Linked DNA regions of Caenorhabditis elegans. The protein of the gene in region 1 interacts with the protein of each later gene in a biochemical or structural test. Each region holds a gene or a part of one and is shown in the gene's direction. Other genes may lie near its edges.

Region 1 (6,524 bases):
AGAATGGTGGTTCAGTCAGTTTTACGATTATCATAACTTTTTCTATCAGAAATAAATGTTTATTTTCATTTTTTATAAATTTATTTCCTTCATGATATCATAAAAGCAGGAAAAGCTAATCTCGACATTTGATAGATCTACTATTTTATTATTCGCTTAATCTAAAAGATCAGGTCAAATTAGTTATCAAGACAAATTATATTCCAAACTTCTAAGATTTATTTACAGAAAAACTGAACTAACCATATTTGTAGTATTTTCAGTGAAATAAATTGACTATATTTTGTTAGACTCATTGCGCGGAAAAATCACAAGGTGTAAAGAAACAGTTTGTTTTTGCATTTGTGTTCATTTCTGTATTTCTTATTAAAAACTAACGATCTAACAACGCTATGAAAAACAAAAAACATGTGGCTCTTAGAGATTACCAAAGCTTTGAAAAGAGTCATAATGACGTACAAAAAAAGAAGATTTTGCTCTCAAGTTTATAGAATTAACATAATTTGTCTGAACTATATATATATAATAATTTTGTCTGAACATCTCACCATTATTCACTTTCGACGGAATATCTCTCATTTTCTAATTCAAGTGTAAGTTGTTTATTATCTACAAGTTATTTCCTGGCTTTGAATATTGCTTCAAAAACGTTAATTCAGGAATTTTCTAGGTTGTACTATTTTAATCGCAACATTTTTATTTTTTAATACAAGAAATATTACAATAATCGTCAGAATAAGTAGAAAACATTTTTAGAATATATTCAGTAAACGGCTGATGAAGCTGTACAGTGCAGATGCAATTATTCTAGTTTTTCCCCTAAATTTACCCATTCAATATTGGCATATTTAAATACAAATACAAGTTCACATATATTCAATACGTTTTCAACAAAATTACATACAATCGAAACAATTTCTGATTTTGTTGTTTTTTTCGAACTCTTCCCGAAGATATGAGTGAATAAGTGAAGCTGATCATGGTTTTTGAGGCTTTTTGCTGAAAACATATCATCATCATTTTCGGAGAACACAGAACTCACCAACCAATTTGATTCACTTTAGTTTCGTCGTTCGAATCAAATTTTTATCTGACTAGTAAATATTATGAATTAGAAGAAAAACGTCTGAGTTTTTTGTTCTCGGTCAACTGATTTTTTCTCCAAACCGTGCTCACTTATCTATTTTGATAAATGTGACGTTTCATTAAAATTTTCGTTGTGTCATCAAGTATACTCCTTGAGCTAAAATTTATATTAATTTTCGATTTATTCTGATTTCTGTTTTCAAAAATGTTTTCCTACGCTCATTATCCAATTTCTATCCTTTGCCTTACAATTTTGAGCTGTATTTGGTTGTCTCAGTTTCACCAAAGCTTATCCGCCCTCTCAGAATTGTTTACTTTAGTTCATGTGCAACGTTTCTCCTTTTCCACCTCAAGGAGTGCTTCAGTTTTTCTCGACTTTTTTCTGGTGCCCCTCATCGCCCGGTCGAAATTCAATTTCCGCGGTATTGGAGTCGGATTTCCAGACGAAAAATAGAGAATAGACGGATGAACCCTATACATAGACAGGGCAAGGGCAAAGACGAAACTATCAAAAGGAAATGTTCTAAAAAAGGTCACCTACTATGCGAGTCCTTTTTTTTGCAACAATGAGAGCTTTATCAATCAAGATAATAACATTATCCTTGGTTCGTAGTAGCCTACATCTCATGAATGTTTCACATCCCACCATTTAGAGAGATTAAATCCATTGGCTCCTTACATTATCTTTTTTCTATTTCTTCTCCACGTCCATATTTCATTTCTGATTTTCAATTGAAACCAAATAATTTGAATCTAGCTTGTTGAACTTACGTAAGCGTCTTCTTCTTCGAATTTCGACCCTTTCTTTCTGTTTTTTATAGGAAATTCAAAATTCGCTTCATCGAAGATGAATTCATAACATAAATCAAAGGACTCTCGATTCGCTTTGTGCGTTTGCGTACCAGTTTTTAGGCAAATTTTAAATAAATGAGTATGTAGTTTGTTTAACGTAAAGGGAAAAAAGAAGGGTCTCAGCTTATTTCGAAAAAGAGAAAATTTCTCACATGTATATGGATTCTTTCCCTTTTAAAAGTTCACGACGCCTCCTCTTTTCTCACTTTGAGATTCACTTTTCGCGTCTAGAATTGCAAGTCTCACACAGAAAGTGAGAAAATAAGAAAATGAGGGAAGTGTTTGGCTCATGTTCTCTTTTTTATTTGATTGACAAGAAGAATTGAAAACAAACAATTTTTAAAAAATCATTGAAAACTTTGGGTTCTATTGAATCTGTTTAATAGTGTATTATTAATATTGTAATTTTTATTGATTTTTTTTTTCAAAAATCATGACATCAGTTTTGTATTATATGAACTATGTAGATTTCTAGTTTAGATGTGGTCGCTCTTCTAGTGTCAATTGCAAAGATGCGAATATCATTAAATTTTCATAACTGACTTAACATATTCTCAATTTTATATTCTTTTGGGAGCTTTAAATTTGAAAATACTTCTAACATCTTTTGCTCTATGAAACGTGTCAAATCTCGTTTTTTCTCCTTAAAATCAAGTTCATTTCCGACTCTTCCACCGCGCCCACGTCAGAATATTATGAACTTAAAGAGGTCTAAACGAGACACATCGCAACCAAACATATCCAGTTCACAATTCTTAAAATGTACTCGATTTATCTCCCGATTCTAATATTTTCAGCTCTTCGTTTATCCCAATTTCTGATAATATTTGATTCAGATGTCGAATGATCTCGTGCCTTCAGTGTCTTCTATACTAAATGAAACAACACCTTCATATCAAAGTACATGTAAAATCAAAAACGTAAGTTTTCGTGTCCAAAATTGTTCGTGAACGTTTGAAAAAAAATCAAAAATGTTCATTGAAACTATTTGATTATGAATTATTTTAACTGAAGCCGAGTAATTTTTATTTTAAAAAAACACGTTTCAGAACCCCATGGAAATGGAATATTTCCGCCCATTCTTTATTTCTATGTATTGTGCTGTTTTTTTGGTTGCTAGTTCCGGTAATTTTTTGGTAAGTAATATCATTTTCGATTTCTCCAGTTTTCCAACAACTGTGTTTAAGGTGGTGTACGTTGTGATGACGAACAAGCGAATGCAGACGATCACCAACATTTTTATTACAAATCTCGCAGTTTCTGATATAATGGTTAACTTTACGTGGGTTTTTTTTGAAATCGGAAGTGATATATCCGGTTCTTATATTCAGATCGTTGTGGCTTACACCAACATACACCTCAATAGGACATTGGATATTCGGAGGTGGATTGTGTCATGGTTTACCCCTGTTCCAAGGTATTGGTTTACATATAGACGGGAAGTTAAGCAGTGATCAAGCATCTAACTATACAGGTACAAGTATCTTCATCAGTACGTGGACACTTACGGCTATAGCCATAGATCGATACATAGTGATCGTGCACAACTCATCAAATATCAATATAAATGATAGAATGTCCATGAGAGTAAGTTGAGCAGGAACAATGTATCAATAAAAAACCTAACTCCAAAAAACCAAAACTCTCATTTCTTAGTCTATAGAAAGGTGTTTTTGAAGTACAGTTAACAAAGTAACCTCCATGAAAATAATAGTTTTTCCTGTTTTCGGTGTAGAACAACTTTGTAATTGGAAAAAATTCTAATTTTTAAAATTTTTTTGAAACTTTCGTACATACCAAATTCAGTCTTGCCTTTCGTTCATTGTCCTCATTTGGCTATGCTCATTGCTTCTGGTCACTCCGTATGCCATCAACATGAAGCTCAACTACATTCATGAACCATGTGATTTTCTGATATGTAGTGAGGACTGGAGCAATGCCGAATTTCGATCTATTTTTGGAATTGTGGTGATGATTCTTCAAGTGAGTTGGGGACAATGAAATTATTTGTATAAATTACCGGGGGATTATATATACATATATCTATGCCTATGCACAAATCAATTTTCAGTTCATTTTGCCATTTGTACTCATTGCCATTAGTTACATAAAAATATGGTTGTTCCTAAATAGCCGTCAAAGTATGACCGAGAGAAAATCCGATATCAAGCGCAAAAAGCGTTTACTACGGATGTTGATTGTCATGGTGGTCATCTTCGCAATTTGCTGGTTCCCATTCAACCTCTTGTTAGTTTAGAAGTGAATAATATGTCATATATTTGAAATAAATTCAGAAACTGTCTCCGAGATCTCAAGTTGGATAATTTCATGCGTGGCTACTTCAGTTTTGTTTTCCTTTCCGTGCATTTGATGAGTATGACAGCTACCGCCTGGAATCCAATCCTCTACGCATTCATGAATGAGACCTTCCGGTGGGTTTATGGGATTTGCATTTCGCCGCCGTCTGGTCGAAAACCCGTTTTAAACAATACAGACAACAATTGATAATCATTAGTGACTCAACGATTTATTGGAAAATAAATTGCAGTTAAAAGATTACGAGGGGTTGTTTTCTTCTCGTTCAGGTTGAAAATACAAGTTATAAAATTTGATACGTAAACATGTGCTAGAAAATACAATTGATAAAAAGTCAAGAAGTTTTATCTTAGACTGCATTTGTGTGTTCAGTTCTCATTTATTTTATTAAAAATTTATTTTTTATAAATACTCAATAAAATTTCCTCTCGTGACACTGTTTCTTCTTATAATTAGAAACAGATTAAACTAAAAAAAAAGACACTTTTTGGTAAATTTAGGATTATTTAAAAAATTTGCACAGTTCAAAATTCAATTAAATTCAATTAAATTAAATTCAATAAATTGAATTATTTAATTTTCATTTTCTTGCAATGCTCATTTTCAGTGAGGAGTTCGCAAAAGTTGTTCCCTGCTTGTTTGCGCGTCGTCCTGGAACTGGTCCAATTCGCGTCATCACTGGTAAAACCTGATAAATTTGAAGTTATTTTTGCTTAGCTTTTTTTTTAGAACGCACCGCTATGATAACTAACCCGTTTCGACGTGCAAACCGAAAAAAAAAAGTGGAGGAACAGCCTGTTACGGTGATTTCTGGTGAGTTTTACTTTTATGTTGTTTGATCCTTAGTTATTCTTCGTTAAGAACTTTTACACCCGACATCCAACGAAGAATAGGAAGCCATTCATTCCCTGCATGCACTCGTTGTCAGTGAACTTTTCAACAAACCAGCAATCTTTAGAAACAGATTCAGAGAGTCCACTTCAAACTGCAGTGGAGCCGCAGCGCAGTATCGTGTATCTCGATGAGCCTGAGAACGGATCAAGTTGTCAGACGCTTCTGCTTTAAGCCGCTCAATACAAAACCGGAAAGTCAGAACAAAAGTCGCTTTTAGTCATGTCACTTGCCAGTACATTTATCCGCTTTCCACTTGCCTTCATATGTAATTTTCATAAAAACACTTATTCAACATTTTATTTTTTTGGTCATATTGTTTTTCTTTCCTAAGATTTTTTCAGCTAAATCTCTGATCAAACCTGTCCTGATCTAAACTATGTGGTTATACTTAACTTATGCACTGCTGTATTTGCACAAATCTTGCTTGATGCTGATTTATCTTTTGTTTCTTCTTCTTGTCACATTTTGATAAAATATTTGTAAATGAAATTTCATATTGGTTACAAAAAATTGGTTCAACTGGTGTGGTTGATAAGATCAGATATGGTTCAAGTAAGAAGGGTATAACAGAATCATGACGAAATTTCAGAATGACATATTTAAAAACATGCTGGAACGGGAAATTGGTAGATGTGGATAAGTAAAATAAATCGAATTGGAAAATTGGTGAAATGTCTTTTCCTGGTTATGGTCATTTAAATTGAATTTGAATTGACTTGATAATAATATTATAAATATGGGAAATTAGGAATTATTTTGTTTTTTTTTTCAGAGGAAAATTGTAATAAAATCTAAAAAGTTTGGGTAAATTTTTAATATCTTTCGATAACAGCTTCACTGCGGTATTCCGAATATGTCTTCGGACGGGCGGCATAGATGGTTTCATCAACATGATCACCATTCATATAGGTTTTGTCAAAATTTTTCTCAATTGCCGGCGCATCCTGAATGAAAATTTGTTTCACATTGCATTTCAAAAATGGGAGTGAGAACGCTACCTGTGGATTGTATTGAGAGAGACATTTAGATCCAACAAGATTGAGAAGAATATCAAAAATAGGAGCTGTGATTAGAACAGATAAAATGGCAGCTTTTAAGATGAGTGCTGCATCCTTGGCCATGTCTGGGAATGGTGTAGCCATCAAAAGTAGAGTTGGAGCAAGGTCGGCCTAAATTAGCAAATTTTCAGCTAAAGTTCCACTGTGTTTAACATTTTGAAATTTTATGTGTTTCATACTAATAGAGTGAAAAAAACATGATACCAAAAAAAACTGTGCACAAACCTGGAAAGTGGCTCTTGGAAGCAAGCTCAGAGCAACAACAATTTGCTCTTTGAAATTAATGTGTGAGGAGAGTGTTACCAACATTACCAAAAT
Region 2 (9,092 bases), on another chromosome or scaffold:
GACTGAAAAATTAAAAAAATAATTTAGAAAAATTTTATTATAATAGTTGCCCATTTTAGCAACATATAAAAGGTCCAGTGTTCCTTTAAGAAAAAGTACGAGGTTTTAATCAGGTCGGAAAGCTATCAAGCCGTTCCCTCATTTTGCACCGAATCTATGATTTCCTGAAAAAAATAACACAAGACAAAATAAAATATAAAAATTATGTTTATCCTTCCTAAGAACACAAAATAGTGTCATAAATATTATTTACCCAAACACATCGGCTTCCCAAGTCGGTGGGCGTCCAAGTTCTCGAGAAATGAACGGGGATGAGCGAGTAGGTCAGAATTACGGGATTAGATCAAATGTCTGATCTGGTTTCTAATCGTATTTTTTATGGAAAAGTGTATCACAAAAAGTGGTCTGGTAAATAATAGTTTATGTTATTTTTGGCGTCTCATGACGGCTTCAAATAATTTTTTAGAATTTAGTATGTCTGATGCTTATTTACGTGACTGTGCCTTTACAGTAATCCTGTGTCTAGGTGAAAATTCTTTAAACCTTCTTTTTTCGGTAATCCAAAAAATCTTTAGAGTTTTCCAAAAAAAAACACATTTCCTCAGAATGCAAGCTAGCCCGATTTCAAAGGGAATTATTCAATTTTCATGTCCCTAAAAACACCGACCAATCAGCGACGTTGGCTCTAGAGCTGCTAGGCAGCGGAGGCAGGCACGCCTACCTACTTTCTAATTTTGTGAATTGTCAGTAAACTGGAGGGTTTGTATTGAAGTAGGCATAAAGCAGGCGTAGGTACTTTCGTAGGCATGCCAAAAACAACAACTATATTTGCACAGGACCTTGTAGGGCCTAGAAATTTCTAAAGTTGTTAAACTATTTCTAAACCAAAACGAGTCCCAGTTTTCCAGTTTACGAAATTTTTTGTTGTTAGATAGTTTTGGTTCTTAACCTTTTTTCTAATTTGTCAATACCAAAACAAATTCATCAATCAGGTGAATGACGCTTAGACGATTCTGATTGATTAGAAATTTTTTAATTAACCTTTTTGGTTACTTGGAATTGATTAGAAAATGTTTTGGCCTTATGGTGAACTAAATAAACGGTGCAAAACTTCAGTCAATTTGCCTTGTGTCTTCAAATTTTCATGGGATCTCTGAAAATTTACAAAAACTCTACCTAAAAACGATATGTTTACCCAAATGTAGTTCTCACAACAATCTATATTTGGGATCTCAAAATTATTTTTAGTTCTCTAACGTCATTTATTCTCACTGCTAATTATGAAATATGTACGAGGAAATTTCGTGGCAATTTTTATTTCTCGAAAGTTCCAAAATTTCCATTTTCCCATGGTCAACTGTAGTAAAGAAATATTTTAGAAAATTGACGTCACACTCAGCCGAAATTACGGTAGAATTTTTTTTTGAGTTTTTTTAATTGAAGTCAAAAAAGGGAAAACTAAATTTCCCCTTTCGCCAATTTTGGAGGTCAACCCTCTTTTTTTTTGGAAAATTAGATTTTTTGCCAATAACTTTGTCTATATAAAATTTTTGAAAAACCTGAAATATTCTCAAACATTTGAAAATTTGAAAATCTGAATGTATGAGTGTATTAAGACCAGAGGTGCGCGGTAAATATTTTTACCGGCAAAGTCGGCAATTTGCCGTTTTTCGAGTTTCCGGCAAATTCGGCAAACCGGCAATTTGCCAAAAACAAAAATTGCCGGAAATCCGGAAAATGGTCGGAGTTGAAAATTTCCGACAAATTCGACAAACCGGCGATTTGCCAAAAATTAACATTTCCGGTTAATCGGCAAATTGCCGGAATATAGAATTTCCGGCAAATTCGGCAAACCGATAATTTGCCAGAAATGAAAATTGTCGGCTAATCGGCAAAATTTTGGAATTGAAAATTTCCGGCAAATTCGGCAAACCGGCACTTTGCCGAAAATTTTGAAATTTGCAGACCACGTGCTTGATTTGCATCAAGTTCTCATGCCCTTTAAATTATTTTCTCTCTATACAGATTTCCTCATATACATTGACATCATGCCCTCTAACAACAAGAATAAAAAAATTAAATATTAATTTGTATTCGAATTCGGAAATTTCCTTTTTTTGCGCTTTGTGTCTCAAATAATATGCGGTGCTAATGAATTTTTCATTCCGAAATACGACGGACTTGTTGAAGGATTTCCTGAGTTTTCACAATTTTACGTGTATTATTCGAATTTTTACAGGAATCTTGCAGTTTCTGACTCTGGTCCAGACGTGGCCGCGAAAATTAGAAAATTCGGCCAGGAATTTATTTTTGATATTTTTTGTTTTTTGCGGCCTCTAGTATGAATACTGTATGCTAATCTCGAGGTTTTTAAATTAAAAAAAATACTCATGGCCGAGTTTCCAATTTCCTAGGCCACGTAGCAGCCGCATTTCACCTCAAACTCTCATTTTCTCGGAAATTTTTGCTGAATTCCTTTGAAATTCAGCTCAATCTCTAAAAATTTTACTTTCAGGTACCCCCGTTGCAGAATAAAAATGCACAGCTTGATCACAGAATTGCTCATTTTCTTCACAGTTCTTCTTTCTGTCAGGTAATTTTTTTAATTATTTTTTAAGACAATTACATGGTTCATTTCAAAGCTCTAAAGAAGATTCTAAAGGCTTACAACTAGAAAATTTAACCTTGGCAAGCAGGTAGGTACTTGAACTTTTTTTTGGTACAATATTCCTAAAATTCTTCAAATAATCTGAGCTCTTTAGCAAACAAAAGTTGTCAAAATCTATGAAACTAGATCAAAAATTGGTTTTTGAAAAGCAAAAACGAATCAAATTTCATTTGTACCAGGTGAAGGGTTTTTTGATAACTAGATCAACATTTTATTTATGCAGAATCACTTTTTTTATTATGAAACTACATTTGAAAAAAATGTATTCAAAAATATGAGGAAGCAATTAGGCTTTCGAAACTCGCAAACATAGTATTTTTGGAAGGTCTCGCAGTAAAATTCAAGTGACGTCATACCGATGAATTTCCCGCAATTTTTATAGGTAAAACCGATATAGATTACTATATGTGACGTAGAAAAATATAAAAGTCGATAAAAATTACCTTGTTCGAAATTTAAATGTGGACGGGTTTTATCTTTCTCGTGGACGCGTTAGAAGGAGACCTGCCTGCCTATGTGCCTACCTATTGCCTACCGCCGCCTCCAATAAAAATGCATATTTGCTAATTTCTGTCTATTTTCATTTCCATTAAGTTTCTTCATGGGGTTTGCTTTGAAGGCAGGCAGGCAATTAGGTGCCTGCTGTCGGAAATTGCATAGCATCAACAATTTTTGGAAAATTTGAAATTGAGGAAATTTACTTTTTATTTTTATTTTTATTTCCAAACAGAGGGATGGGGCTCATTTACAAAACTCATTTTTATCCAAAAAAATTTTTTGAAAATATTTTTTTGGAAAATTATATAGAAATGTAGAGAAATATCTGTTCTTTCTGAAAACAATTTTATCTTTATTTAAAATGTTTGAGAAATTGCCGAAAAACTGCCTCAAAGCCGGCCGTAATGCACCTAGGGTCACTGACTCTATCGGCACATTTTGACTTTTAGGTGGGTTTTGAGCAGCTTTTTGAATTTTTAAAGAAAAAAGTAATACCATTATCAGAAAGTACAAATGTTTTTCTATATTTCTGTATAAATTTTCGAAAAAAATTGCCGGAATTGCTAAAATTTTTAGAAATTTCAAAACTATAATATTTCAGCTATTTCAGAAATTCCTGAGCCCACTCCCTCGTAGGAACCCAATTATGAAATTGTAATTTTGGCAGAGAGGGAAAATAATTTGTTTTTTCGCAAATAAAAGTGACGCGGTGATGCTTTCAAAATTGAAATATATACATGTATATATCTGTGTATATTTTTCTGTTTTTCCATATTTCCCTCCTCGAAAACCGCTAACAAATTCTATCCGGTTACCCAATTTCGGTTTAAAACCATTCCATTTAATTGGCACCACATTTCCGTTTAGCTTCTTCCTGCTTTAAGCCTAAAACCTAATTTACCACCCAAAAAGTCGTAAAACAATCGTATTATTGTCATGGATTCATCGTATAGTATATAAAAATACCGTAGCTGTGTGTGATGACGTGGCAACAAGAAAAAATTAAAGAAGAATGTGATGAAAGGCAGGCATCATTTCCTGGGAGCACCCACCATTAGGCGCCGCCCACTTTTGGCTCGGCGAGCAAGAGGGGGGAGAAAGCTCATTCTGTTTTCGACACCCGATACATACACTCACACACATTTTCCACTACTAAACATATTTTCTAAAACATGCAGTTCCAATTTTTGATGGCTCTGATTTTTGTTGCTTTGGTTTTAACTGACAGGTTGGTACTGTGGGGGTACTGTGGGGGTACTGTAGGGGTACTGTAGGGAATGGTACTGTAGATTTTTTTTGTTGAAAGTACGGTAGTTTTATTATATGATTTTTTTTAATTTGAAAGTTGTTGGTTATGAATTTTTTGAATTTTTTTAAATACGAAAATTTTGTTTTAAAATTTGGTAAGAGACCATATTTCTGTTTACTGTGATCCTACATTATTTTAACATTACTATAGTGTATTACTGTAGTATTACTGTAGTATTACTGTAGTACCTTTAACTGAACCAAAATCTATAACTTAATACATTGGTTGGGCCAAAAATATTTTGCAAAAATTTTTTTAATGATTTTTGTTCAAAAACTATTTTAAGGGTGCAGTATCATCTAGGATAATTAGAAAAAACTCAATATTTTTCAAAAAAAAAATTACTATAGTCTCATTAAATATATGTGTTAATTTGTAAGTTATAAGGTTTTTTTTTTGAATTTTTGGAAAAAAGAAAAAAAAATCCAAAATTTGGTTAAAATTTTTTGGGTCGAAGTTTGAATTTCTGAGCTTTTTTTTTAATTTTTTGGATAAGCTTATGTTCATTTCAGTTTAAGACAATTTTTAGAATCACAAAATTAATTGGGATAACTTTGGAAAAAAATCAGAACAATTTTAAAAAATCTAAAAATTATAAAAACTTGATGTTTTCTAATTTTTGAACTTACTACTCAGTTACTTACTCAAATTTAAATCTTTTCGAAATCTAAATTTAGCTTGTCTGCGCAAAACATCATGGCAGGTGAATTTCTGTTTGAAAAAAATGTTTTCGACCAAAAATTGCAGTTCAACTTTTCTCAATGACGTGGCAAAATTGAGATAAGTAGGATTTTTTTCATGATCTTTTTTGAAAATCCACAAAAAAAAAGTAATTCTGAAACAAAAGGGGATTAATTTGGAGTATTAGTCAATGCTCATGAGTAATAAATTGTGAAAAAGTCAACAAGGAAGCATCTCAAAACAATCAAAAACTAGGCTTAATCCCCCATCTAGATTTGGATCAACAAATTTTTGATAAATTCAGATATGTAGTAATACTGTTAATAGTTGAACCAAAAATTCTAAAAATTGAAATTTTTTTAAAAATTTTTTAAAGTTTTAACCTGTTTCCTATTTAGAAATTTCATACATTTTGAATTTCGAACATGATGCATCAAAAACTGAAATTTCACAAATCGCGACGAGACCCACCAAAACTTGGGCATGCGCCTTTAATACATTTCTGGGCGTAGTTTAAATTTAAATTTGAAAATTTCAAATTTCCGTTCATTTGCGCTGGAATTAAAAAAAATCGTAGTCCCTGTAAACTTTTTTAAGAATGTATATAAAAAATCCTCGAAAATTTGGAAAAATTATATAATTTTTTAAAACAGTTATATTCGGTATACTCACGTGGCGTCAAGCTGTCCCATTACGGTTTGATCTACAAAAAATGCGGGAATTTTCTGCCCAGAAAAATGTGACGTCAGCACGTCCTTAACTATACAAAATCAGTTGAGAACTCTGCGTCTCTTCTCCCGCATTTTTTGTAGATCTACGTAGATCAAGCCGAAATGGGACACTCTAACACCACGTGTATACTTAGACTATGTTATGATATTCAAGTAAAAAGGATTACTGTAGCAATAGTTTCAGCTGTGTCACGACATAAAAAAGTTTTGCAGCGTACTATCCCTGCCACTGGAGAAAAAAGCAGACATTTCCACATTTGCATCAGCTATCAATAATGCTGGACGGCTTCGATACGGCAAACGATCGGACCCCGCAATGTGGGAAGAAAAGTGAGTACTGGGAAATTTGCGCGTAAGATATGGTGCATCGAGGAACACCAGATTTGACGCGCAGAAATTTGAAAACTAGTTGGTCATGGAAAAAATTCTAGACGCTGGTTCAAACCTATGCGATTTCTAAACTTTTTCCACAATTTGGAGCCCAGCGATCGGTACGTAGTGTGCACTTTTTCTATCTTTTCAGTTCATTTTTCTTGAAAATTTAAGTTTTTTTTAACATTTTCAATTTCCGAGTGACATTTTTCAATAATTTCAACGCACTCCAACCTTTCGAAATCCAATAAAAGTGTGTGTTTTGACCGGAAATCTCAAATTTGTGTCTAGCAAAAGGAGATGCTCTTTACAAACTTGTTTGCTCCAGCAACAACCCACCACTTTTCTTCGAAATCATCACGTCATTTGAAATAAGAACTTTGCAATTATAAAAGTAATGTAGCCTATGAGAAATTTGTGATTTTCAGTAATGTCATCATTCCATCATCGGAAGATCAGTACCTCTACTCGGAAGGACGTTATCCGTACGCATTGTGAGTTTCTCACTGGGGTAAAAGAACCTAGGCAGGCTTATAGCCTAGGTCTATAGCCTAGACCTATATTCTAGGCCTACAGTTACCTACAGCTTAGCCGAGACCTATGGCCTAGCCTAGACCTATAGCCTGGCCTAGGCCTATAGCCCGGCCTAGGCCTATAGCCTAGCCTAGGCCTGAAAATTGAAGAACAAAATTTAGGAGGCAGGTGAAATTTTGAAGTAGTAAATATAGAATAAATTAGTGATTAATCAAAATTTCACCTGTTTGTTCCTGCATTTTGGAACGTAGATCAAAATTTGGAACTAATTGAAAGTGGATTAGCGGAGGAGTTTTATGACGTGGGGGCGCTTAAGCTTCAAAGCTATAAAAAGATGTTTCCGAATTTTCAAGATTTAAACCCTCTCAACAAAATACAATTTTAAAATGTACAATTCGAATGACAAATGGTTGAATAGATAATTAGAAATTTGGCAGAGAGTTTGAAAAAAAAAGGACATTTTTCTCGGAATCAGAAAGTCGTGGCGTTTGGTCGGGTCATTGGGATGAAAATTTTTCAAATTTTTTGAGGAAATCCTCCTGAAACTAAAAATTATTTCAGAATCAAACGTGCGCTGAACAGAGACTCCCTGGTGGCTTCTCTCAATAATGCGGAACGATTACGGTAATTTTTAATTTTATTTTTCGAGATTACGCCTATGGCCTACGCCTATGGCCTACGCCTATGGCCTACGCCTATGGCCTACGCCTATGGCCTACGCCTATGGCCTACGCCTGTGGCCTACGCCTATGGCCTACGCCTATGGCCTACGCCTATGGCCTACGTATATGGCCTACGTATATGGCCTACGCCTGTGGCCTACGCCTGTGGCCTACGCCTATGGCCTACGCCTATGGCCTACGCCTATGGCCTACGTATATGGCCTACGTATATGGCCTACGCCTATGGTCTACGCCTATGACCTACGTCTATGGCCTAAAACAAAATATAATCCATTTTATTTTCAGATTTGGCCGTAAATAATTCCATCACGTCAGCCCGTCCGTAGCCGTCTCGTTTTTTTTTCTAAATTTTCTCTCTCGAGGTTTTGTTTTTATTTCAGATATTTAATTAATTTATTTATTCTCTAAAAAATTTTCCTCATTCAAAAATTCGCTTATTCAAATTTTTCATCATTCACCATCTTCCTGTCTTGTATCAAATCAGTCCCCCCAACTCGTTTTTATTTTTTATTTCTTTCTCAAAAAAAAATCAAATAAAGTTTGTGAGTCTGTTGTTTTGAAATTTATTTGATCTAAAAAGAGCGGGAACAGAATGGTCGAATAAACAATCGGGATATTAGTGCGCCAAAATTTTTTTTGGTTTGAATTTTTGATTTGAATATGATATTTGTGGACATTGAAGTTTGATCTTTTTTTTTGTCATAGGCGTAGGCCATAGGCGTAGGCCATAGGCGTAGGCCATAGGCGTAGGCCATAGGCGTAGGCCATAGGCGTAGGCCATAGGCATTGGTCAAAGACGGTTGCTATAGGCGTAGGCCATAGGCTTAGGTAATAGGCGTAGGTAATAGGCGTAGGCCATAGGCGTAGACCGTAGGCGTAGGCCATAGGCGGAGGCCATAGGCGTTTGCCATAGGCGTAAGTCATAGGCGTAGGCCATAGGCTTCGAGTGAATTCAGAATTCTCAATCTCAAATGTTTATTTTAATTTCCTCAGAATAAACTTTTGCCAGATGTCAGATTAAATGAATACAATTTCGAATGAGTCCACTTCGAAAAAAGTTAAGAACTTTGAGACAGATCTATGTATTTCCGACAAGAAACCCCTTATCAAAGCAGTGACCAATACTGAAATGGTCTTATCAGAGAAGGAAATAATGTCCGAGCAAACAAATAAAAAGTTGTGAAACTATTTTCCTCACTCTATTAACTTTATTGACCTTTTTCTTGAAAATATTTTCGAGTTTCGAAACATTTCAAATAATTTTTTGTCTATTTTTGAAAACAAAATCTTATTTATTTGTTTGTTGAGCCAACGTCTTTGCTTATAAATTTTGTCCCTTTTTTCTCAATTTTTTGAAATTTTATAATAATTCCAGTAAAAAATGTCTGAAAATCAAGGATTTGTGCATGATGAAATTACAGTTGTACCGGCAACTCCAACAGGACAGGTGGGTTTTTTTCGGCAATTTTTCATTTCAAAATTATTTTTAAATGTCATGAGAAATTTTTCAGCAAACGGACTCCACGAATGCGAACCAAGGGGGCTCTGGAAGAAAACGATCAATGGATATTGGAACATCGACGGCGCAGATTATTATTGAGTGGGTTTTTTGTACT
Region 3 (7,997 bases), on another chromosome or scaffold:
AGTTCTAAAACTTTTTTCGTGGCGAGACCATATTTTTCGTGATAAATTACAAATCCCCGTTAAAAAAAGTAATACTAAGTTATAAAGCTCCTCTGAGACCTCCTAATATTTGGGTGAACAATCGTAAATTTTTAGGTTGTCTGGAAAAAAATATATAAATATTATTACAAGCTCCCTTTTATGAATTATTCAAATTCTCGCGCCAAGAATTTATCACTGGAGCGTACTTACCAAACTTTAGTCCATTTTCTAATCAAATCCACCACCGTACATTCTCTTCTACTAATGGACTTTTCTTTGAAACGTCCCAAATTCCGGGCAGAATCACCGAATTTCGTTCCCCAGAAAAAATTCCAGTTGACGTTGCTCCGCGCGCTAATGAATACCCCAGAGACTCCAGAAAAACTGGGAGCCGCCCGTCTTTTTTGTTTTTGATGATTTTTGGGACTAAAATTCCAAATTCTAATTATTTTCCATTTTCCTACAAAAAAAAATTTTCGGAGCTCATAGGAAGAAGTTATATCATGGAAAAAATCTATCTGGAATGAGCGTTAATTAGAAAAAAAAATAATGGGAAAAAAGAAAACAAAAACAAGAAAAAGGCAGATAAATAGGTTAAGAAAGTACAAAAAGCCCGAGGGAAACTGACCTGATGTTGTTGACGACTTTTCTTGAAGAATGCGTGGGCTTAAGAAGCCTATTTACTACCTAAAATTGGCCCTTCTTCACGGGCTTTCAGAGTCCCTCATATCTTGAAATGGCAGAGTTTACTGAGAACCTAGGCCGCGGCCAAGGCCACGGATTTCTGGCTTCCCTCATAAATTGAAATGGAAGAGTTTGCCGAACTAGGCCATTTTGGCTCGGCCATATCTGGGGTAGATTTACGGCGCGTTGCGTGTCGCGTCGCGGCTCGATTGTAAAACTAAATGTCCGTGTGGAGTTCACACGACTTTCCCGGCGGCCGATTGTCAATGGAGCGCGAAAAAATCGATGAGGAAGGCTAGAAGCCTGTGCATCATTTCCGCAAATTTTTTGAAGCTCCGTCGCGGTCATGGCCGATGTTCCCAACTCTCTCGGAACGCTCCGTCTTCATAAAATGGGTCTCATTAGGAATTTGGTCGTTTTAGCTATTATTCGTTATTTTTAATGATTTTTTTCGATTTTTTGATTTTTTGATTTTTTTCGTCACAAAAAACATTAAAACACACTGAAAAAATTAGAAAAATTAACGAAATCAGGAGATATAAAAAAGTTTGAATTTACGATTTTGTCGCCAAAAACCTAACGAGACCCAAGTTATGTCACTATGCGGCAATTCAAAAAAAGACAAATGTGTTATTTTGTTCTGGAAGTTACAATTTTTCACAAAGTCAGACCAATTAGAGCAGCCTCTTTCGAGTGAAAAAAGAAAAGAAAACACTTAACGAGCACACACAAATTTTAGAAGAAAAAAAAACGGAGCACCACGTGGAGAATTGCACGAAAACAACATTAAGCGATGGTTCTATACTTCCTTTTTTGTTCTGAACGTTTAATTTGGGAATAGTTTGAGCAAAGCCTAGGCTGGTCTAGGCTGGTCTAGGCTGGCCTAGCCCAGCCTAGCCAAGCATATTTTAGCCTAGACTCCCAGCTTGGCTAACCTTGCCTAGAATCCCAGTCTTGCCTAGCCTAGCCAACCTTACATAACGTATCCTACGCCTACCTAGTCTAGCCTCACCTAGCCTAGCCTAGCCTAGCTTAGTATACCCTTAACTAACCTAGTCCAACCTTATCTTACCTATCTTATCCTATGTCTACCTAGCCGGGCCTAGCTTAATCTAACTTCCCAGTCTTGCCAAGCCTAGCCAAGCCTAGCCAAACCTAGTCAAGCCTAGCCAAGCCTACCCTCACCTATCCCTGCCTAGCTTAGCCTAGCCTGGCCTAGCCTTACCTAACTTATCCATCGCCTGCCTAACCTGGCCTAGCTTAATTTGTCCTATTCTTACCGAGTCTAGCCTAACCTAACCTAGTCTGTCCTAGCCTAGCCTAGCCTAGCCTCACCTAGCCTAGGCTCACCTAGCCTTGCCTACTCTTCACTAGACTCCTAGACTTGCCTAGCCTGACCTATCAATACATCTGCTCTGTTCAAACATTGACCTCCTCTGTCACTTAACTCAATATGCCCCTGGGCCTCCTTACGGAACCTCCGATACATTTTTTTTGGTTTTTTTTATTTTTTATTACTTCCGGGGCAGATTCTCAGATGTTTGAGGTGTTTTCTCTTTTCCAATTTTCCCGGAAAATTTTAGCGAAATCCTGCTAATCCGGGGACCCCATCCCCTCGGCTAATTAGTATTTGTTTTTTTTTTCGTAAAATTTTTAGTGCTACCGTACTCTTGAATTTTGTTTCATTTTTTTTTCTTCTCCTCGAGCTCTACCAAGCCACGCCCACAACATTTCACTTTCAACACCGAGCTCCGCCCATTTTGAAGTCTCCTCTGGCTCCAACTGAGAGCTCTCTTCATATGATGATCTGCCTGCCCACCGCGCTTCTGCTCTCCGCGTTCGTCGTGGCCGCCAGTGGCCAGGAGGCACCGGCTGGAGCCGGAGCTTCTGGAGCCGCACAGGCTCCACACAATCCGAAGGATTGTCAAGCGGTGAGTCAAAAAAAAACCATTTTGTTCTAAGAAGTTTAAAGTCATGTTTATAATTGGGTTTAAAAAAGTTTTTTTTTTCAAAACTGCAAGTGGAAGTTATAATGAGATAGTTTAGTGCATTTTGGAAAAGTTTTTCGAAAACTAAGTTAGGGCCTGCGTGACGTCATACATCCCATGGTTCTCAAAATTCTGAGAATGCGTACTGCGCAACATATTTGACGCGCAAAATATCACGCAGCGAAAACTAATGACTACTGTGTATTGGTTTGATCTACGCAGATCTACGAGAATCGCGGGAACTTAGACGCAGACTTCTTAACTGATTTCGCATGGTTAAGAACGTGCTGCCGTCACATTTTCTGGACAAAAAATTTGATAAATATGATATTCTTTTGATCCTCATGACGTTTCGGTTGTAGTAAACTTAATAAGATCACAATTTCTGCTCATTTTTCGGGGGAGGATTGGATGCACAATAAAGATTAAACAACTTGCGATGAATAGAAAAAAAATCTATTTTCTTTTTCATAGTTAATCTAGATGATTCTAACCTGATCATACTATTCTCTGTTTGATTTGAATGTGTTTTTTTGTGGGGTTGGAAAGTAGTAGATCAAAGTTTTTTTAGAACTCCACTTTGGTAGATCATAACTCGGTTCATTTTATAGATAGCAAAATTTTTTAAACTATAAAGTTGCAGAAAAAGAAAAAACCTATATTTTTCTAGTTAACAACTTTTTGATAAAGCTAAAGATAGCCGAGATATGAGCTGTCAAATACGGGCTTCATCTCACCGTAGTCCTCGACAAAAATCTGAACCTATAATTACAAGGCTTCCGGTTGGTTTTTTTTTTGAAACCATGTAATTTTCGTGCTTTTCCCAAGGATTTTGTTCCGGAATAATCACTGGGTTTGAAAAACGTACTACTGTAAAAAAACACATTTTCCAGATTCTGGCCAACAACGGCGATCAACAAGAGGCGCTTTTGTGCCAATTAAGCGAGAGCAGCATGCTTCTTGCTCAGCTCGGAGCTCTCGTTTCGGAGGGAGTTGAACGTCTCGTTCAGACTCACGGTAAGTAGGCAGGTAGTAGGTAGGCAGTAGGCAGGCAAGAGGCAGGCAGTAGGAAACAGGGGCACCGCCGAAAATTTTTTTTTCGATTTTTCGGTTGTTTTTGAGCATAACAGAAAAACAAAAAATTTAAAAAAAAACCGAAGATCCGGCAGCCCTGGTAGGTAGGCAATAGGCAGGCAGTAGGTAGGCAGTCGGCAGGCAGTAGGCAGAAGGGGTGCCTTTGCCAGGTTTTTCGGTTTTTTTGGGCAAAACCGAAAAATCGGAATACCGTAAAATTGGAGTCTGAAAAACGAAAGTTGGCAGTAGGCAGGCAGTAGGCAGATAGTAGGTAGATAGTAGGCAGGCAGTAGACAGGCAGTAGGCAGCAGAGGTGCCTATGCCAGGTTTTTTTGGTTTTTTGAGCATAACAGAAAAACAACAATTTTTTCAAATAAACCGAAAATCCGGCAGGCAGCAGGCAGGCAGTAGGAAGGCAGTAGGCGGGTAGTAGGAAACAGAGGCACCGCCGAAATTTGTTTTTTCGATTTTTCTGTTTTTTTTTTAGCAAAACCGAAAAACGAAAATTAAAAAAAAAAAAACAGAAAATCCGGCAGGCCAGGTAGGCAGTAGGTAGGCTGAAGGCAGGAACTAGGCAGTAGGCATGCAGTAGGCAGGTAGTAGGCAAATACTAGGTAGGCAGTAAGCAGGCAGTAGACAGGCAGTAGGCAGCAGGGGTGCCTATGCCAGTTTTTTTTTGGTTGTTTTATAGCAAAATCGAAAAATCGAAAAACCGTAAAATGGGAATCTGAAAAACGAAAGTTGGCAGCAGGCAGGCAGTAGGCAGGCAGTAGGCAGGCAGTAGGTAGCAGGGGTGCCTATGCCAGTTTATTTGGTTTTCTGTCTTAGCAAAACCGGAAAACAGGAAAACCGGCAAGCCTAGTAGGTAGACAGTAGGCAGTAGGCATGCAGTAGGCAGGTAGTATGCAGGCTGTAGGTAGGCAGTAGGCAAGCAGTAGGCAAGCAGTTGGCAGAAGGGGTGCCTTTGCCAGTTTTTTCCCTTTGGTTTTTTTTTAGCAAAACCGAAAAACGAATTTTTTCTTTAAAAAACACCGAAAATCCGGCAGGCCTGGTAGGTAGGCAGTAGGTAGGCAGTAGGCAGGTAGTAGACAGGCAGTAGGCAGCAGGGGTGCCTTATCCAGTTTTTTTGGTTTTCTGTCTTAGCAAAACCGAAAAATGGAAATACCGTAAAATTGGAATCTGAAAAACGAAAATTGGCAGTAGGCAGGCAGGCAGCAGGCAGTAGGCAGACAGTAAGTAGGCAGTAGCAGGCAGTATGCAGAAGTAGGAAACAGGGGCGCCGCCGAAATTTGTTTTTTCGATTTTTCGGTTTTTTTAAAGCAAAATTATTTCAAAAAAAAAAGCAGAAAATCCGGCAGGCCTGGTAGGTAGGCAGTAGGTAGGCTGAAAGCAGAAACTAGGCAGTAGGCAGGAACTAGGCAGTAGGCAGGCAGACAGTAGACATCCGATTTGCCAGCTGCATGAGTCAAACTTCATTTTCTCTGCATCAAATAAGCCTCCGGTGACCCAGCCGAAAGCCTAGACTATCAATCACGTTCCGCCATTTTCTTGAAAAAGCCCCTGACTTTTAAAATGTAAAGCGCCAAATTCTTTTTAAATTCTTAATGATGGTTGTGCTCTTGCTTTGAGGTCTGATCCCAATGGGAAACGTTGTTGCAGGATTGGCTCTCGAGGAGGAGACCAACGAGGGAGACAATGACATGGAGAAGCGCAAGCACGAATACCTCCGATTCGGAAAGAGAAAGCACGAGTATCTCAGATTTGGAAAAAGGAAGCACGAGTACTTGAGGTTTGTGATTTTTTTTTAGTTGTAAGGCAGGCAGTAGGAAGACAGTAGGCAGGGTGTAGGCAGGCAGTAGGCAGACAGAGAGTAGGTAGACAATAAGCAGGCAATAGGCAGGCAGGGAATAGACAGGCAGTAGGCAATCAGTAGGCAGGCAGTAGGCAGACAGGGAGTAGGAAGACAATAAGCAGGCAATAGGCAGGCAGTAGTAGGCAGATGTTATTATGGCGCCGCAAAAAGCTGCAACTGTTAGATGGGGGCAAATACGCTCCAACGTACAAATGAATACACCCAGGAAATTTTTGGAACCAATTTTCTTAACGAGACCCAAATTATGGCAGCGTTTGGAGCGCAATTGCACTTTTTTTTCGAAAAATTGTCATTTTTGCGTCACCGTAATACTTCTCAGGTCTCTACACGAATTTGCTTGTTTTTTTTTAATACAGAAGGAATTCAAAAGCCTATAAAGATTACTGTAGTGTCCTGCAAAATATTATTTATTTACACAAAAATAATACGGACAAATTCTCGAGGAAATGATAGAAAAACTTTGAAAAATCGATGAAAATCAAAGTCGCACACCTTTTCGAATTTAACGAAAAATTTGTCGCGTCGAGACCTGTATTTGTGGCTGAAAAATCGTGTAACAAACTTGCGCGTAAAATATGATGTCTGTGCATCGAATTTTATGCGCGAATTTTTTTTCCCACTTTCACGGGGTTCAGGCCTTCCTCATTGCATTTTTCGCGCTCCATTGACAATCGCCTGCCGGACAACGCGTGGGAAAGTCGTGTACTCCACACGGACAAGTGATTTAGATTTACAACTAAAATCAAGCCGCGACGCGACACGCAATGCGCCGTAAATCTACCCCAGCTATGACCGAGCCAAAATGGCCTAGTTTGGCAAACTCTTCCATTTCAATTTATGAGGGAAGCCAGAAATCCGTGATTTTTCGAGCACAATTTAACGGAGAGAACAAGCTCTGATCTTCGCACTTTTCCGTAACACTATTAAACTTCAAAAATTGAATTTTCGACTCAAATTCGGTGTTCTTTTTGTTTGTTTCTAAATCAAATGTCACACGATGTCTCTAAAGGAAATTGTGTTCCATCAAATTTCCCCTATTTTTTTCAGATTCGGAAAGAGAAAGCACGAATACTTGCGTTTCGGACGCAAATAAGAAGGGAATATCTACTATCATCGAAGAAACATCTTTGAAAACCATACAAATAAAAGAAGAAAAAGACGGAACTACAGTACACCATTTTTTTTTGAAAGATTTTTTTTTCTATATTTTTCTCTCTATCTCTTTTCTCTCTCCCTCTCAGCATTGTCGAAAGAAGAAATTGTAATAAATCTTGTCGTTGGTTAAGAGTTATTTTCTAGAAGTCAGAGGAAGATAAGTGCGCAACCGACATTAAACAAGGTTCACGATGAACCACTTTAAAAACGATTTAAAGAAAGCAAACTTCTGGGTCTTGTAGAAATTTCTGGGAATCTGGATTTTTTGACAAGTTTTGCTGGAATGCTCAGAAAAAAAAACACTTCGAATTTTTTAAAATGTACGGTAAATTTTTTATTAGAATTTTTGTCAATAATTCCAAAAAATGAACAAAAACGCAATTATAAGATCCCTTCGAGATAAATGGAACAAAAAAAAAAGAATAAATATAAGTAGATCGTATTAGAAATTTACATGAAAATGAGCAATAAAAAATCCCAAGACTTCTGCCGAATTACTGCACGTAAACTCCACGATCGTATTTATTGAACTTTTGCGAGCGCTGTAGAATCTTATCGTTGACAAGATTTGCAACGAAAATGGCAGCGATGCCGAGGAAGCATCCAACGTTGAGTCCAGCCATTGCCTGTAAGAAATTAATTTTGAAAAGTTTGTTAAATTTGGCAAGAGTTCGCGAAGTTTGGCAAAATTTAGCAAAGTTTGGCAAAAGTTGGTAACTTTTGGTAAAAGCAGGCAAACGTTTGCGAAAGTTGGCAAAAGCTGACAGAAGTTTTTGAAAAATTGCACGATTTTGAAACTTTTCTAAAATGGGCAATTTTGTAGTTAGAGGACTCAACATTGCTCTCCGAACACTTAAAAAATGCCCTTTTTCAGAATGTAGCGGTTTTAATTTGTACATTTTCAGAAAAATTATTTTTTTCCCCAAAAAAAAGGACAGCCGTTAGATGGCAGAAAAATGAAAATGGGCAAAAATAAAAAGTTGCCTAAATTTGTTGAAAACGGGTAAATCGTATATGGACAATTCAGAAAATCTAGGTTTAACCCGTCAAAAACCATTAGTGGCAAAAATGGACAATTTATTGCAAAAAATCACAATTTTGAAACTCCTCTAAAATGGGAAATTATTTAGTTAGAGAACTCAAAATTGAAAAACTCCGTTTTTTTTAGAACACTGACAAAGTTTAGCAAAGTCGGCGAAAGT

The links. The genes of interacting proteins can lie anywhere in the genome.
Region 2: of the proteins of npr-6 (region 1) and flp-34, one has a biochemical effect on the other in vitro, tested with the Caenorhabditis elegans proteins (one study listed by BioGRID).
Region 3: of the proteins of npr-6 (region 1) and flp-14, one has a biochemical effect on the other in vitro, tested with the Caenorhabditis elegans proteins (one study listed by BioGRID).

The regions. Positions count from the first base shown.
Region 1 is NC_003284.9:10,281,946-10,288,469, reverse strand, and holds npr-6 (G-protein coupled receptors family 1 profile domain-containing protein), read left to right. Parts: upstream 1-2,735; 5' UTR 2,736-2,774; coding exon 2,775-2,858; intron 2,859-2,987; coding exon 2,988-3,074; intron 3,075-3,125; coding exon 3,126-3,220; intron 3,221-3,269; coding exon 3,270-3,355; intron 3,356-3,412; coding exon 3,413-3,525; intron 3,526-3,744; coding exon 3,745-3,921; intron 3,922-4,009; coding exon 4,010-4,185; intron 4,186-4,232; coding exon 4,233-4,370; intron 4,371-4,861; coding exon 4,862-4,935; intron 4,936-4,983; coding exon 4,984-5,067; intron 5,068-5,224; coding exon 5,225-5,319; 3' UTR 5,320-5,651; downstream 5,652-6,524. Other genes in the region: slc-9B.1 (Cation/H+ exchanger transmembrane domain-containing protein), read right to left, coding at 5,961-6,092, 6,147-6,317, 6,432-6,524.
Region 2 is NC_003283.11:1,026,831-1,035,922, reverse strand, and holds flp-34 (FMRF-Like Peptide), read left to right. Parts: upstream 1-2,518; 5' UTR 2,519-2,537; coding exon 2,538-2,593; intron 2,594-4,270; exon of another isoform or gene 4,271-4,338; coding exon of another isoform or gene 4,339-4,394; intron 4,395-6,100; coding exon 6,101-6,217; intron 6,218-6,687; coding exon 6,688-6,753; intron 6,754-7,354; coding exon 7,355-7,417; intron 7,418-7,761; coding exon 7,762-7,777; 3' UTR 7,778-8,029; downstream 8,030-9,092. Other genes in the region: R09A1.3 (UPF0496 protein), read left to right, coding at 8,858-8,923, 8,988-9,076.
Region 3 is NC_003281.10:12,908,008-12,916,004, forward strand, and holds flp-14 (KHEYLRF-amide 4), read left to right. Parts: upstream 1-2,502; 5' UTR 2,503-2,504; coding exon 2,505-2,636; intron 2,637-3,586; coding exon 3,587-3,710; intron 3,711-5,426; coding exon 5,427-5,556; intron 5,557-6,687; coding exon 6,688-6,733; 3' UTR 6,734-6,923; downstream 6,924-7,997. Other genes in the region: Y37D8A.16 (MARVEL domain-containing protein), read right to left, coding at 7,290-7,421.